Linked DNA regions of Oryzias latipes. The protein of the gene in region 1 purifies or fractionates together with the protein of each later gene. This does not show direct contact. Links are inferred from orthologs where the notes say so. Each region holds a gene or a part of one and is shown in the gene's direction. Other genes may lie near its edges.

Region 1 (8,141 bases):
GGAAGTCCGATCACCAAACCACTAATGCTGATGTTGCCGTGGTTGGGTTCACGTCCACAAGCCGTGGATAAGTATTGTGAGATTTACTTTCGCACCGGCTTCGACGTCATCGTGGTGGAGAGTGAGGTAAAGACTTCTTTAAAAAAAATAATAATAACTTTATTTAAACTTCATATTATTAAAACATGCAATAAAAATCACAGAGGTCAGTGAAATTAAGCAGGAGATGTTAAAATCTTCTGCAACAACTGCAGTGGAATGGAATAAAATTATGTAAATTGCATTTTTTTTATTTATTTAGGTTTCTGATCTTGAATTGAATACCTACATTTATTTACAAATTGCTCTTTTAATTTTTTTTTACTAGGTAAAGGATTTCCTGTGGCCTCGATGGGGACTAGACCGTGGGAAAACATTGCTGGATTTGCTTCTGAGTGATCGCTTTATGTCCCGGCCTCTGCTTGTCCACGCTTTCTCAATTGGCGGCTACACATTTGCCCAACTGCTTGTTCATATGTCGCACGACCAAGAGAAATACCAGGAATTTGCCAGTAGGATCAAAGGTCAAGTTTATGACAGCTTGGTGGTAGGCTCATTGGAGCAAATGGCCACAGGTAAGTGGGTTCAAGCATCAAGTACTGAATGGATTTTTTTTTTCTTCAATAAATTATGTATATAAAACCAGCTTTTTTTATTTTAGGTAAAAAATAATATTGGATGTCTTTGTTTTTTTCCTGTCTGTCTGTTTAGGTCTTGGTAAAACAGTTTTTCCTCGTTTTGAGACCTTGATTAAACAAATAAGCCTGCTGTACTTCACTATCTTTAAAACCCAAACGGTGGACCACTTTAACTCCAGCATTGATGTTTTCTGGAACAATCCAGTCAGAGCCCCTGCACTAATGTTCTTTTGCGAGAATGATGTGATGAGCCATGCGCAAACGGTGGAGAAACTCATTGATTACTGGAAGAAGCATGGAATGGACGTCTCTGTAAAGAAGTGGGAGGACTCAACACATGCGGGTCACTTAAGGAGGTATCCTCAAGAATATCTGACCACCCTAAACTCCTTCCTACACTCCCTTCAAATCTCCCCTCTTAAGGCAAAGATGTAAGAAGGTTCATTTTAAATGCAGATCCAAAGCAGGGTTTAAATAAAATGTTCTCAGCATAAATAACAGTTTCACCATTTCAAGGTTAATTTAAGTCCCAGAAATCAAATTAGTCAGTTTTACACACTTACTGTGAACTTTATAAATCTACTGAAGTTATTGTTTTGACAACTTCATTGACAAATTTTCCGTTTGTTTCTTGTTTTTGGCTTTTACAAACGTTCTTATCTTAATATTTAACGTGTTAAATGTTGGCAAAAAAGTTGCAAAGCCGATGCAAATGTGAACTCAGCATTTCTAAACACAAGACAAACTGTTGTGGAGAAGAGAGATGCTTCCAGAAATGTCTTCCATTTCAATAACGGATCTCCACTGAGCTGAACAACTCCTTTAGACTCACTTGATTAAGAGATTTTATCCTGACAATCAATCAAAAGGTGACAAATCGGTCGAGACGGGATAAACTGTTGGAAGGAGTAGCTATTTGGAAATCTAAAGATGTGAAATGAATACAACCAAAATGTTGACACTTTTAACTGTTTAGAAGAAAATTAAATCAGTTTTATGTTCCGAGATTCTCTCTTCTTAGCACTCTGACACAAGTGGACGGGTGCAGTTTTTTTTTTTATTGTGGTCTCTAACATTTAGAGGACGTGTTGTTGACTGATTTTGGTCCATTTGAAACAGCCTGTTTTTAAATGTCATGAAACGATGTGGAACCAGGGAGAAATCGCTTTTGTGCATCGTCATATTGAGTTTTGTTAAAGAAATGAAGGACTGTTATCTGTAGCTGACTTACCAGTAATCATTTTAAATTCAAATTTTAATTTTCTCTGTGACTTGATGCTTTTAAATCTTCATTATGACACTACATCTCTGTACTTGAACATTTCTGTTATGGAATATTATAAATGTGGCACTTTTTTATGCTTGTAACTTGAAAATTACTAGGGAAAAAAAATGTGAAAAACTGAATGAAATTGATTTCTTTGTGTGTTTTTTCCTTGATTTATTCCATATAAACCCAATCAATGTTGAACAAGCTATAATCTGTATTACATTATCAATTATTTGTCTTTTAAAAGTCATCTGTAATACTTTTCATAATGGGTCATAAGTCCTCTAGTACCTTTCAGTTCCTTTCTTCATGACACTTGCAGAGAGAAAACATAGTTTCTGAAGTGGGAAATGAATTTCACATTTACATGAGGGGCAATATGGATTAATAAAAAGTGACTCGTTTGCCTCTATTAAAGTTAAAAAAAAAGATTTAACTTTAGTCAGTTTCAATCGGTCCATAAAAAAAATATAAGAAACTTCTTAGGGAAAATGCTGCTTAACAAACGAAAATTAACATCTAGCTTACAATGAAATGGTTGGGGAAAAACAGGCCTACATACTAAGAAATAAAAACAAAATGTAGATTTTAACGTTTTAAGATGGCCAACAATGAATTCACTGCAATCAAATTCCTATGAAAAAATAAAATTAATTAAAAATTAAGCTATTAAAATACCAACCAAAAGCCCATTACATGTTTTATTTGTGGCTTTTTTAAAACTAATGCCAAATGGTTTTATTGTAGTTTAAGGTGTAAATATGCTGAAATGAAAGAGTTGCTAACATATAAGAAATAATATTTTACGTCACTGATTTTGTAATGCCTTTTATTACTTACACAATTGTCTGCAAGTTTTATGTATTTGACACGGTCAGTTGTAGATTAGGATCAAGTGGGCATTTTAATTGAGAATGAGCTTCACTTGAAAGATCTATACAAAACCGGAGCGACATTTTCACCTCCGGAGCGGTAGGTGGCAGCACACTGGCTTTGTGGGAGAAAGCATCAACCGACAAACTTCCTGTCAATTTCAAGATGGTTTCTCCCTCATGTAAACATGCGACTTAAGTTTGTTATCGCGTGCCCTTAAAAGCGATTTTCCCCTCCCCAGACCTTCACTGAATAGCTGAGTGATTGGTCGATAAATCTTATTTACGGTTTTTAAATACAGTCGGTTACTTAGTGCTAACTTTGTGTTTCGCGGTAACCGCAGGCGAGAGGGCCATGCACACGCAAACCATCTTCGTTGGGTCTTTACCAGAATCAGCGACAAACGAGCGGCTTGAAGAAATCTTCTCAGAAATCGGTCCGGTCAAACAATGCTTCGTGGTCCGAGAAAAAGGTACTGTTGTTGTCCCAATACCATAAAACAGAACACATGACAATATGTTAAATAACGGCGAGAAATTTTAAAATAACATACAAATTAAAGCACTAGTGGTGTGAAAAACAAAGTTTTATTATTATTATTATTATTATTATTATTAATTTACTAGAAATGTGAATCTATGACATTTTTTAAACCGAGCTAATTATGCCTGTTTTTTAATTCAGGTACAGAAAAATGTCGGGGGTTCGGTTTTGTCAAGTATTCCATGGAAGATGATGCACAACGAGCCCTGAAAGAAATCAAAGACTTCGATGGGAAGAGGCTCTCTCTTTCTTTGGCAAAGAAGAAGATCGATGACAAAAAGAAAGCAGGTTTGGATGAAGAAAACAATACAATCTGTGATCTGACTTACATACTCTTGTCTAAGTTTTGTAATCATGTCTTCACTTTTGTAGTTAAAAAGACAGATCCAGCACCAAATCCTGGTGCAAAGAAAGTCCCTGGCATCAAAAAACAACAGCTGAAATCTCGACTGATTATCAGGAATCTCAGTTTTAAGGTACAGACTTATTCATGTAAAGATTTCTACAGCAAGTCGTCTGTGCCACAGAATCTCATATAACTCCTAACATTTCAGTGTTCAGAGGATGATCTTAAAGAGGTTTTTGAAAAATATGGAACAGTTTTGGAGGCCAAGATTCCCCTGAAACCCGGTGAACATGTTTTCCTTCATTTTTTTCAGTATTCCAAAAATATTACAGCTTTGTTTTAACTTTAAGAAATATTTCAATAGATGGAAAAATGCGAGGATTTGCATTTGTGCTGTTTAAAAATGTGTGTGGAGCAGCAAAGGCACTGAAGGCGATGAACCTAAAGGAGATAAAAGGTCAGAGGGTAAAACATTTGTCTTTGACATTTTTTTTTCTTTATACTTAATTTGACGCCGTTTTATCACAGGTCGACCTGTTGCAGTTGACTGGGCTGTACCTAAAGACAAATATACCGCCTCAACACAGTCATCACATCCAGGTAATGAAGACTCAGAGCAGCCCTAGAGCCAGGTCGTGGTTTTAAAAAGCTCCAATTGACAGTTTTCCAAAAGTAAATGTTAGATTTTGAAGTCTTGTGCTTCAAAACCAATATTATTTTTGCCTTTGTTAAAGCTTGGTAACAACCTTTGTTCTTCAGAGTCTAAAAAAGAAGGCCTTACATATTTTAATGCCTAATGAGTTACAAATGTAAAGGCTCTCATTTTATTAGAAAAAGTTTTGGTTTAGTTGGAACATTTGTCTTCTGCCTCTGTAGCTACTGGGAATACAAGAGTAATAAATGCGTGACTTGAGGAAAAACACATTTTACTGTTCAAAGACTTTTCTTTTGATTGAAAATTTCGCAGAGATGTTATTTCATTTTTTTTCTTAGGCAACAAGAACACAAAACAAGCAAGTGACACTTGTGATGAGGATGAAGAACAGAGCCAAGTTGTGCAGCCAGTAGAAGAGCCTAAGGTAAAGGAGGAAGATGAAAGTGAGGATGAAGATGACAGTGAGGACAATGAAAAAAGTGAAGATGAGGAGGGAAACAGTGAAGATGAGGATGACCATAGAAAAGAAGAGGAGGAAGATGACGATGACGACAATAGCAATGATGATGATGATGATGATGATGATGATGGCCTCGATTCAGCCAATGGCGATTCAGCCAGTGAGGATGCAGAAGATGATGATGATGATCAATCAGGTAAAAATATTTCATATACATGAACATAGAATGTGGTCTTTATGGAAACTAAGAAATGTATATTTTATGTGTGGATTTCATTTTTAGCTAAAAGAAAAGCTCGGAAAAAAGATCTCCCTTCTGATGTGAAAGAGGGCCGAACAGTTTTCATAAGGTTGGCCTCTTCTCCAACTTAAACCTAAATGCTCCTTTAAGTCAATAAACTTGAATCCTTTTCAGGCTAGCTGAACACACAACAGACGTTTTTTAGCGTTCACATTCTGTCGCGTCAAATCACAATGCCTCCTTCTGGTTTTTAGGAACTTGTCTTTTGATACGGATGAAGAAGGACTGGAGAGCGTTCTCCTTCAGTACGGAGAGCTAAATTACATAAAGATCCTCCTTCATCCAGACACAGAACATTCAAAAGGTCAGAAGGGAACAACTAAAAGGCTTTTCTGCTTTAAATCAAATCGCTGACCCTTACAACCTTGTATGTCACTTTTCCAGGTTGTGCATTTGCTCAGTTTAAGACCAAAGACGCTGCAGACCGATGTATAGTTGCTGCCCAGGATGAAGCAGAGGTAACGGATAAGCTTCTCTCTTTTTTTTTTTTGTTTCTCATCAACTGTTTTAGTAAAACGGATGACCTTTTCTTCGCCTGTGCTGCAGAAAGGTGGCATCCGTGTGGATGGCAGAAAGCTGTCGATTGTTGCAGCAGTGTCCAGAGAAGACGCTGTCAAGCTGAAAGTCGATAAGAAGAAAGTAGAAACGGGCAGCAGGAATCTGTACCTTGCCAGGGAGGGGCGTAAGTCCGCACATTTTAGCCTTTCATAACTCTGATAATGTCGAGAGGGGCTTTAATTTTGCAATCTTAGCATTACCCATGGAAAGCTTTTCAGTGTAAATGTTCTTCTTAACTTTCAGTGATTCGTTCTGGGACGAAGGCTGCTGAGGGGGTTTCTGAGGCAGACATGGCCAAAAGGACTCGAGTCAGTCGATCTTTATGGGAAAATTCTTTCATTTTTTTTATGCACCAGGCTTCATTCAGTCTTCTATGTTGTTTATTATTTCTAATTTGTTCTTCTTTTAAAAATAATTCAAAGACATTCTATGTTTTTTTTAAGTTTGAGGAAATGAAAAGAGCCAAGCTTCGGGACATCAGTGTGTTCGTGTCCAAAACTCGCCTGTGCATCCATAACCTGCCTAAGTCGGTGGACAATAAGAAGCTGAAAGCTCTCTGCCTTCAAGCTGTTAAAGGAGTGAAAGGAGTTCGGATCACGGAGGTAGATTGGGATGGATTCACCTAGTTTTGAGCTTTAAGCAAATATCTGTTTTTGCCTGTTTGGATTTCTTTTTGCGGTTTTCTTCTAAATCTGTTTTGAATTCTGTTGTTTTAGTGTCGAGTCATGTATGACAAGAAGCCAGAGAGGGGTCAGGTTCTAGGACAGTCCCTGGGTTACGGCTTTGTTCAGTTCCAGGAGCACGAACAAGCTCTTAGCACTCTGCGGTACCTAAATAATAACCCAGACATCTTCAGTGCACATAAGGTACGCTATCTACAAACTTAAAGTCTGTGAAATCAGTCTTTGCTGCCATTCTTTTTTATCTCCTAAAAACATACACCAACTCTAATATTTTTGTGTTTTGCTTCTTTACACAGAGACCAATTGTGGAGTTTTCTCTGGAAGATTCAAGGAAACTCAAAATAAAAGAAATCAGAAAGCAAAAACACAAGGTACGCCTTCACAGATATGTTTGCTCTGCAACTAATACGCTTTAATGGCTTTCGTTGACACTGTGGGTGATTTGACAGGATTTCTTGAAAAGTAATGCTTTTAAAGGGGGAAAGCCTCAACAGAAAACCCTTGGAGACAACGCCAGACTTCAGAAAAGTGGAAATGAAGAACCAGATCAAAAGAAAGGTAAGTCTGATTTCTTTTCAGTTGGGGAAAACCAGCTGCACTGAGAACAGGTTAAAAGTCTTGAGATCGAGGTGGGAGACACCAATGTGTCACGATTCTTCAGGACTTTCAGACCTTCAACTGACTGAGATATGCGGAAGTGGTAGATAGATGTGGTTGACAGAAGTGTTCCTTGGGATAGTAAACTGGAAGAATTTGTGCTCAAGTTGTTCTGTTACTCATGACGAGACGCAGGAAAAGGGAAGTCTGACAAAGCAGTTTGAACCAGACAACAGCACGACTGTAAAGAAACAGTAAGCTGCGTAGAAGCAGTTGCACATTTCATCACTGATGGGTTTCTTTTTTTTCTCCTTACACTGAATGCTAACCATTAAAATGTTCAGCAAGTTAGAAATGTCTCTTTTTTTCTCCTGTTTATTTTATTTCTCAGGTAATCCCGAAAAGCAGAATCAACATGGATTCTATTCAGGTTTCCAGACCAAAGCTGCGGTCGAGCATGTCGATTTGAAGAATGGAAAAAAACGAAAGAAGGTTCTACCTTTGCCATCTCACCGAGGGCCTAAGATCAGGTACTATTCCTGGTTACAGACACTCATAACTTATTGTTTCCCTAAATAAATCTTAATTGTTTTGTAGATTTTTAAGCATTAGGTTGTTGTTTTGTTTAAAGATGAAATATTAGTTTAAATTTGATCTGGACGATAAAAAAATAAACTCTGACCTTTTGCAGAATGCGTGACAAAGGAAAGCAACAAGCCCCGCCTCCTAAAAAAGCAAAGCCAGGATCTAAAAGAAGCAATCAAAGGAGGTTGATGGTTGAAAAGCCGTCACAGCTTAAAAATCCGGTTTGTATGCTTTCAAAGATTTCCATCTAATAATATCCTAACTGCCAGCCATGATCTACAAAATCAAAACAAATATTTTAAATAGGGATGGGCCGATATAATTATTTCCGACCGATTAGTTTAGATTTCCTTTAAGTTTCTTTATTAGAAATGTACAACTTTTCTTTTACTGGACAATCACACTGTACTTGACCTTTTTAACACACAGCAAAGGATCTCATAGGAATAAGTAACACTTTAAGGGTTTCATATGAATATATCTGAAAGAATTCAGACCATTTATTGAATATTTGACATAACTGATCTATTAGGAACTAAATTTATCCCTATCAAAAATAACATCTACTTGAAAACAGTTAATTAGTGACAATG
Region 2 (8,186 bases), on another chromosome or scaffold:
TGCTTCCTCATATTGTCTTACCGATTAACCAGTACGGTCCGTGCAGATCCTCCTCCACCTCCCTGCCTTTGAATGAGGACTCCCAGAGTTCCTGCTCCGAAGTGCTCCCTACGCAGCATTTCTCCACACTCAGGATGTTGCCCTGGGAATCGCATATGAACTGGCTCACCACCGACGTGAAGCCCTGCGCGTTGATGAAGGACTTAAAGAACTCCTTCTCATACGGAGAAGCCCTGATCTTAAACTGGGCAGGAGCCATGGCTCCCAGGACGTTGGGGATTTTGCAGAACTCTTTAATGACGGCGGCGTTTTGAATCCTGGCTTCCGCGGTGAGAGGGAAAGAGATGAACACGTCCGACATCCCCGCGATGACCCCCGATGCTGAGCTGGCGACGCTCGTGAGGCTGGCGTGCAGGCACGAGCCCACTTTCTGCACCACGAGCGGGCTGAACGCGCCATGCGCGAAGTAGTTAAGAGCCACCATGACGAACGCGTCCACCGGAGGCGAGGGTTTCTTGCAGGAGACCGTTTTCATGCGGATTCGAACGGCGTCGACGATGAAAGCGATGCAGGGCCGCGTGAGGTGGAAGTATTCGAACAAAGCGGCGTCGTTGAATTCGTCAAAACAGGTCGAGTTCTCCTTCTCCGCCGCTTCTTCTTCCAGGAGAAGCTCGTGCACCGCCAGCCACACCGGAACAGCAAACGTCATTTTTGTTTGTTTGGAACGTGTATTTGAAGACAATAAGCACAAAACTAAACAACAAAAATGTGGAATACTTGGAAGAGGAGCAGCACCCTGTTATTGCTTTTCTTCGTCTATCAATAAAGTTAACAAAACGCAGCACCAAACTCACTACTGCCCCCTGCTGTACATTTAAAGATCTTTGTGCCAATAACAATAAATGACACACAGGACAATTTTCAAAATGAAACACCAAAAAATCTCCTTATTTGTAATAAAATGAAGTGTAAACAGAAAAGGAGGGAAATAGGACCCCCAATCTTTTTTTAAAATATCTTTTATGCACTTTTGTCATCTTTGAATTGTACAAAAATACAAAGGCAACAATGAAACAACAAGATATACAGTATATATATTATTTTATGTTTAGCCAGAAACTATAAACACAACTTGGTTCAGCTTTGAAACTTTATCTATTTTGTCTAAAATAACAAAAGTTGAGTTTATCTTGTGGAAAAATACCTCATCTTTAATGCACTGAAACATACTGTAAATGAACATATTTAAGTGATATTTTCTTATTGGTATGATGGAAACATCTTGATCAATTAAGAAAAAAAATTTAAAAGGTAAATAGCAAAGTCACAGTGCAAAAGTTACATACAAACCCACTAACCAGACCTGTTAACTTTGCATACAAATTTGCAAAAGCGAACAGATTTGGCATATTACACCATCAGAAAGGTTCCCCCAGATTATTAATAAATGAACAGAGAAACCACAAAACACCCAGCAGCAGACTGTTATGTTTTGGGTGATAAATAAAACATTTTGTTGACATCACTGATGGAGACATCCTTTATTCGAGGTATTCCCCCCTTCTGCAGGCATTCTTCACTCTGCTTTAGTGCATAAATATCTAAAAGACACAAAGAAGACACTTAAAGCTGTTTTCTTGGTGGTGTTTTCTTAATTTTGACATAATATCCGACCTTTTTGACATAAATTACTCACCCTTATTTGTATTCATTTATTTTAAAAGTATATGCTTTTATTATGTGAGGTACAGTTCCTTTTTTAGAAAAATGCAGCTGCAATTAGCGCATGTTAAAGCTAGTTCGGTTGTATTACTCCTAGCAGTGATTTTACTTCCTTTTTTTAAAATTCAATATAATTTCACTTCAAACAGCTTTTCTGTGATTTACGCTGACTGTTAGCCTGCAGCCATAAACTCACCTGTGATGTTGTCCACAGAGTCCAGTGGGGCTGTGTTGCTCATGTTGACCCCAAATAACACCACAACAAACACCAGTATTGCCACCAGCATATATATTGGCACTGCGAGAGCCCAATACCTGCATCAAACATTTCACTTTAAGATTCAAACAAAGGCTAACAAGCCTAGGGTAATCTCATTGTAAAAAGACATAAAACATAAATTCTAACTTGTCATATTGTTGCTACTTACTTTTGAGGCCAATAAGTGAGCCCTATAGAATGAAGCCATTCCTCTGGTATGTATGCCCACAAGCAGTACAGAACTTTGGGAAAAGAAACAGAACAAACATATTTTATTAAGAGAATTCTTTGATACTCTTTTAGGATAGACTTTTTTTTCAAATTGTTCACGAACTATTTTTACTTCTGTTCTGTTACATTATCTTACATTTATGTATAAACATATGTCCTTTCATTTCAATTTATTTTTAAATCTGATGCTTTTTCATACAGAAAGACCATCCAACCAATAAAAAAGACAACCTTTGAGGAAAGTGTAAATATTCATTTATAAGCAACAGAGTTATGTGATATTCCAAATTGAAATCTTTTTAGAATTATTGGGATTATTAGAAGAATTTTCTTTTAAATGAGAAAAAGACAATCCAATTTAAAAGTTAAACAAGACTTCTTCATTTGGCTTAATACAATTTTGCCGACTTATTAAATTGTGTAGTTTTAAGCCTAAATATGAACATAACAGGCCTATTAAAAAAATCCTACTTTTTACCCAAAACAACAACAACACACAACTAGCGTTTTAAAGTAATTTACAATATTTAAGTCACTACCATCCTGCCATCTTTCAGCTGAATTTTTAAAAATATATATAAACACAATAACCTTTTACTAATGTATACCTTGAGATATAAATAACTTAAAAAAAACTAATTATTGAAAGAATTCTATTGAGAAAAAAATCCAAAAAGGCTTGTTTTTTTTAAGTGAAGTCACATTGAATTAATGGCAGTCTGTTTTTCAGGTGGTCAACTATTTATCACCCTAGTAGTAAGGAGATTTAAATCTCCACCGAGAAACGGTTATTCTATTTTAACTCAAGTGAGTCGTCCTGCACATTTACAAATTTCAATGAGATTAGATTTATGGCAACATAAACAAAAGGAACAGAATGTCTTTGCTATATTACCAAGAGCCGTAGAGATAAGTAATTCCACAACATTTTACGTTGAATGACATCTTCTGCAAATAGAACTATGCTTCTAATTTGAAAGAACATGATGTGATGGGACTTAACTTACAGAAGCCAAACTGGGAGCCAAGGAAGAGAACAAACCCATAGATTGCTCTCTCTGGCATAGGTGATGGGGAGTTTTCAACCATGATCTGAAACCAGAACACAAACAGACCATCTATTGGGTAAAATAATCGAAAATAAACAATGACAAAAAGTCACTAAACTTACCGACAGATAATAAGTGTATTTTGGTTCGTAAGAAGAGCAGCAAGTTTACAAAAACCCCTAAAAACAGTTTAAATGTTTCTCAAATAGCTTGTTTATATCGTACCATCAGCTAGGTTCAACGATAGATAAAATCCAATTCTACTATTTCAAACGAAACATAAATAAAAATGTAAAAAGTGCATCTAATCATATTACGCCAAAACCTAGCTGACTGCTGTCAACAAAACGTTAGTCCATCACCTAAATGAGTTCGGTCAGAAACTGTACATCAGGAACAAAAGACTTTAAAGAAATAAAGCAAAATTACATATCAATCTTGTGTTCTTTGTTAGTAATGTATAGATATTAAAAACTATTTTCAAGCTTGAAAAAAGAAAGAAATAAAAAAATCAACGAAGGGAGAACTTTCTGCCGCTCGAACGAATCATGTTACTTTTTTCCTGACGAACATATTTGACTGTTACTCATTCCAGAAGCACCGCAGCATGGCTTCGTGAATGTGAAGGTAAACAACTTGAAACATAATTTTTCCCTGTTTGGGAGGATAATAAAGTGGCTATTTTTGCTAATAGAAACAGTGTGTGCCCTTTATCTGGGATACATATGTATGTGACACAGCGTTAACTGTTTTCGTTTACATCTCACCTAAAATTGGCTTCTTTCAAAAACGTGGCTGTGTAACACAGCAAATACTCCCTGAAGTTTAAAGAAGTGCGACCACGATGTCTAAAATCAAAGGAAAGGAAACTCCTGCTGGAAAAACGCAACAGCTGACGTCCAAAGAAAAAAGGAAGAAGTTTTTTATAAAGCATAATCGTAAAAAACAAACTTCCCAAAAGACTCTAAACAAGAAAAATCTAGAAAATCCTGGAGCAAAGCAAACTGCACCACCACAGGATCCCCAACAGTTTTCTTCCAACTGGAAAGCATTACAAGAGGTTTGTCTGACGAATATTAAACTCTATGCTCTTCATAAGCTGTGCAACTACTTATGTGAAAATGTATTTACTTTTAAAATGTAATTATCTTCTTTGTTTCCTGAACATGGCAGATCTTAAAGAGCAGTCAGCCAGAGAAGAAGCAGCCTGTTACACCAAAACATCGGAATGGTGTCTTCCCTAAGAAGTTTAAAGGAAATGAGCCTAAAAAGTTTCAAAATAAGAGCCCTGCTCCCAGCCAGGTGCACACAGACAGAGAGGGAAAAGTCAAAAGTGGCGATGCCCCAAAGGAGGATGGGGTGAAGGCAAAGATCCACGCCGCCTTAGACAAACTGCAACCTGGTGGTGCAAGGAAAAGGCAAAACGAAAAGACAGACAATGAGAAACCAGCCAAGAAAAAGAAGCCCGTCACTGAAGAGAGGAAACCCACAGAGTATGTATCCTTATTGCTAATACTTGACTTCAGTTCGGGTTTGCCTTGTAATCTTTGCTTGTGCTGCTGTAGGGAGGACCTTTGGTTTGATGACGTCGACCCTGACGATATTGAGGAAACGATGGGAGCCGAGGCTGCAGAGATCATGAGGAGGAAACAAGGCATGAAAACAAGCAAGAACGTAGATAGCGTTCTGGTAAAAGAGAACGCCTTTGATGGGTAAGAGAAACTGTTTTGTGTTCTTACGGTCAAAATGCCACACCTTCATTTGCTATCGATCAACTCTAGTTGAAATTCACCTTTCTTTATAGAGCTCTTTTCCTGTTAAAAAACACCTCAAAGTCTTTTACATAAATAAATAATAATTATATTAGTATTTATAATAAACACATGTTGTGTACAAAAACTAGCAGGAAAAAATAATCCATAAAATCAAATTAAAACATGAGGAAATGTAAAATCGACATAAAAGCTAAACTAAAAAGGTGAGTTTAGGCCAAAGTTCTGCCATGTGGCCTCGCTGTGGGTTTTTGTTTATGACCTCAGGGAGCACCAGCATAACTGGATCTGAGGGCTCTGGGAGGGTCGTCTGCTAACACCAGCTTGATTAAAATTAAAGTGCAATTTCATTAAACTAAGAAAAGTACCTTAAAATCGATCCTAAAGCTGACAGAGAACCAGATATTTCAAATTTGGAGTCCTTCTTTTTGTCCTGATATTTTTTGATAATTTTTGCTCAACAATCATTATTATAGTATATTGTTTTAATCTCATCTGCTGCTCTTCTTCATCATTGTTTTCTTGGTCGGATGTGTAAAAGTGTTGAAAAAGTCCATTCCTAGCAACTCTTTAATCTAGTGGGATACTTCCCGTGTGTGTTGCTCTCTTTGGGCATAAGTATGAGTCTTAAAATCGTCGGATTGTTTCGCAATTGCTTCCTGATGAATATGCAGCCATAGCTGTTGCAGAGTTTATGCTCATCTCAACCTGCAGCAGACTGGCTCCAACAGACTCCCTAAGTGGAAGTAGTTGGAAAAACAGCCGTTGCCTTTTTAAACAAGTTTTTGAAAAAATCGGTATAGTTGTCAGTTATACCCCAATAACATCAGATGTTCTCTTACTTCTCTCAAAAGAGAAAATGATTTAATAATGTTTCAGGTGATTTCTGTGGAGAAACTTTAAAACGGGCAGCAGAAAGACTGGACTGTTTCATTAGATGACCTTTTGTTTTCTCCACGTTTGTACGTATGAATATCAGCATCACCAAAGCTGTAGCTATTGATTGTGAGATGGTGGGAGTCGGTCCAGATGGGGAGGACAGCATCCTGGCACGTGTGTCCATCGTGAACCAGTTTGGAAAATGCATCTATGACAAATATGTCAAACCCACAGAGAAGGTGACAGACTACAGAACAGCTGTCAGTGGGATCCGACCGGAACACATTAAAAATGGTAAGAAAACGAGACATCACTGTATACTTAGATGTTTATTGCTTTCAAACAATCCTCTGTGCTTTTGAACAGTGTCAAAATGTGATTTTTTTTTTTTTACAGGGGAGGATGTGCATGTTGTGCAAAAGGAGGTGGCTGAAATTCTGCAAGGAAGAATTGTGGTTGGTCATGCAATTCACAATGACTTAAAGGTATTGTGTTGCCTTAAAATAAATGTGTGCTCCAATAAAACAGCTGTAGCTCTCCTCTTACAGAGTCTGTCAACTGTTTCAGATTCTTCTCTTGGATCATCCAAAGAAGCACATTCGGGACACTCAGAAGTATAAACCCTTTCGGAAGACTGTAGGGGTAATTATAGAAAGTTCTTTTGTTTTTACTGAGACTTACTGGTAGATCGTCTGTGGAAGGTTCCAGACCTCATCTTAATAAGAACAAGTTTATAAATGATTTTATATTTTAGAGCGGCCGACCTTCGTTGAAACTCCTCTGCAGAGAAATCCTGCATGTGAAGGTGCAGCAGGGAGAACACTCTTCTGTAAGTTGGAAATAAAATACATCATTTTTCTTATTCTGATAATGATAAGAGATTGAAAAAAACAAAAACAAACATTTTCTGTGTGTTGCAGGTCCAAGATGCTCAGGCCACCATGAGGTTGTACACTTTGGTGAAAAAACAGTGGGAAGCAGAGTTGAAAGCAAGCAAGAAAAACAGCGACTCTAATAAGAAGAATGAGAGGAGGCCCAGGAAAAAACAAAATCAGTAAACACAATTATCCAAATATAACTTATAATTCAGAGGTTAAACATATGTTTTGTAAATTAAACTTTTCACAAAAAAGTGTAAGTTCTTTTAAAAAGGAAGACAAAATATATCATCATGGATAGCCTGATTCGGATGGAGACTTGTTTGTTTAAAGCACAGTGCTGCACATTTAACCTATTTAAACAGGAGGCTCAAAGCTTTAGCTTGAATTTGTATTCATTTTTTGTCAGCCTATGTATTAAAAAAGAGAGATCTTAAAAAATGTAGAAAAAAACGTAAGTATTCCCAGAAGGGTTGTAAAAATGTTAGATGGCCGTCACATGTAAGTTTCAACAGTTTTGTGTGTCTGAACATTCGTTTGAGCGTAAAACCATCTTTTCCTGTTAAGACATTTTCCAGCAGTGAAGAAGTTGTTTTTCCACAATGTATCTTTTACCTCTGACAAAAAATGACCCCTGTATGTGCAAGTTCAATGTCTGTTGATGTATTTTTTTCATATGGATTATTGTTTTTTAAATAAATTGAGAAACAATTGATCTGGTCTGGTCTTTTTACTTAAAAAAGTAAAGTATTTAAATATGAAAACATATTTAAAAAATTACATTTTCATGCTTATTGAAGGTGCAAATGACAAATCTAAAACAATGAAACAACAGTTCTTAAGCTTGTTTTTGAGTTTTCTCTATTTAAATAAATGTAGTCTTTAATATTTTTCATGATTTAAATTTAATTTAATAAGTAAAATATCTAATTTAAAAGTGCTACATAAGTATACGCCATTTACCATCATTACTTTATTAGGCCAGAAGACAGATGTATGTTCTCCAACCAACAGAAAGTTATAAGAATTGTGGTTATCTTAGAGCATCAGTTTTATATTCTAATGTTTTCTTTCTATAGGGAGGGACATCTGGAATCTGACCTGGACATTTGATTTAATGGAAAGAATTTAAAAAAAATTCTTTTGGTTTTAACGCCAACTGACTCCCTTCTGTCGACTAGAAGCGCTGAAAAGTTTCAAAAGCAATCACTTAATTCAAACAGGAATTGGGGTTTTTCTATTTAACCCTTTTATCGTGTTCAGATCAATATGGACTTGTTTCAAGTATAAAAAACGCCCAAAACTGGATAAAAGCCCTGGCATCTTCACACAAGTCCCGCTCACATCATTCAGTCAGAAAACAGGACTGTAAAACAAAAACGTAATGTGAGCAGCA

Evidence for each region. Proteins that work in one complex are often made in the same cells at the same time.
Region 2: the proteins of rbm28 (region 1) and rexo4 purify together in Homo sapiens (affinity purification with mass spectrometry; 3 studies listed by BioGRID and IntAct, with this or other methods). This does not show direct contact. The link is inferred for Oryzias latipes from reciprocal best matches to the Homo sapiens genes RBM28 and REXO4.

What each region holds. Positions count from the first base shown.
Region 1 is NC_019864.2:20,015,160-20,023,300, reverse strand, and holds the start of rbm28 (RNA-binding protein 28), read left to right. Parts: upstream 1-2,916; 5' UTR 2,917-3,174; coding exon 3,175-3,292; intron 3,293-3,504; coding exon 3,505-3,651; intron 3,652-3,735; coding exon 3,736-3,839; intron 3,840-3,917; coding exon 3,918-3,993; intron 3,994-4,073; coding exon 4,074-4,166; intron 4,167-4,237; coding exon 4,238-4,309; intron 4,310-4,702; coding exon 4,703-5,020; intron 5,021-5,107; coding exon 5,108-5,174; intron 5,175-5,319; coding exon 5,320-5,429; intron 5,430-5,509; coding exon 5,510-5,583; intron 5,584-5,671; coding exon 5,672-5,807; intron 5,808-5,926; coding exon 5,927-5,991; intron 5,992-6,126; coding exon 6,127-6,285; intron 6,286-6,399; coding exon 6,400-6,549; intron 6,550-6,662; coding exon 6,663-6,737; intron 6,738-6,815; coding exon 6,816-6,924; intron 6,925-7,354; coding exon 7,355-7,493; intron 7,494-7,654; coding exon 7,655-7,769; intron 7,770-8,141. Other genes in the region: transmembrane protein 53, read left to right, coding at 1-126, 368-614, 751-1,112. UniProt on the Homo sapiens protein: Nucleolar component of the spliceosomal ribonucleoprotein complexes.
Region 2 is NC_019877.2:8,246,807-8,254,992, forward strand, and holds rexo4 (RNA exonuclease 4), read left to right. Parts: upstream 1-3,833; 5' UTR 3,834-4,105; coding exon 4,106-4,321; intron 4,322-4,434; coding exon 4,435-4,754; intron 4,755-4,826; coding exon 4,827-4,973; intron 4,974-6,012; coding exon 6,013-6,206; intron 6,207-6,308; coding exon 6,309-6,397; intron 6,398-6,479; coding exon 6,480-6,554; intron 6,555-6,666; coding exon 6,667-6,741; intron 6,742-6,832; coding exon 6,833-6,970; 3' UTR 6,971-7,503; downstream 7,504-8,186. Other genes in the region: putative nuclease HARBI1, read right to left, coding at 22-709; pigp (phosphatidylinositol N-acetylglucosaminyltransferase subunit P), read right to left, coding at 1,486-1,601, 1,919-2,037, 2,151-2,223, 3,220-3,301.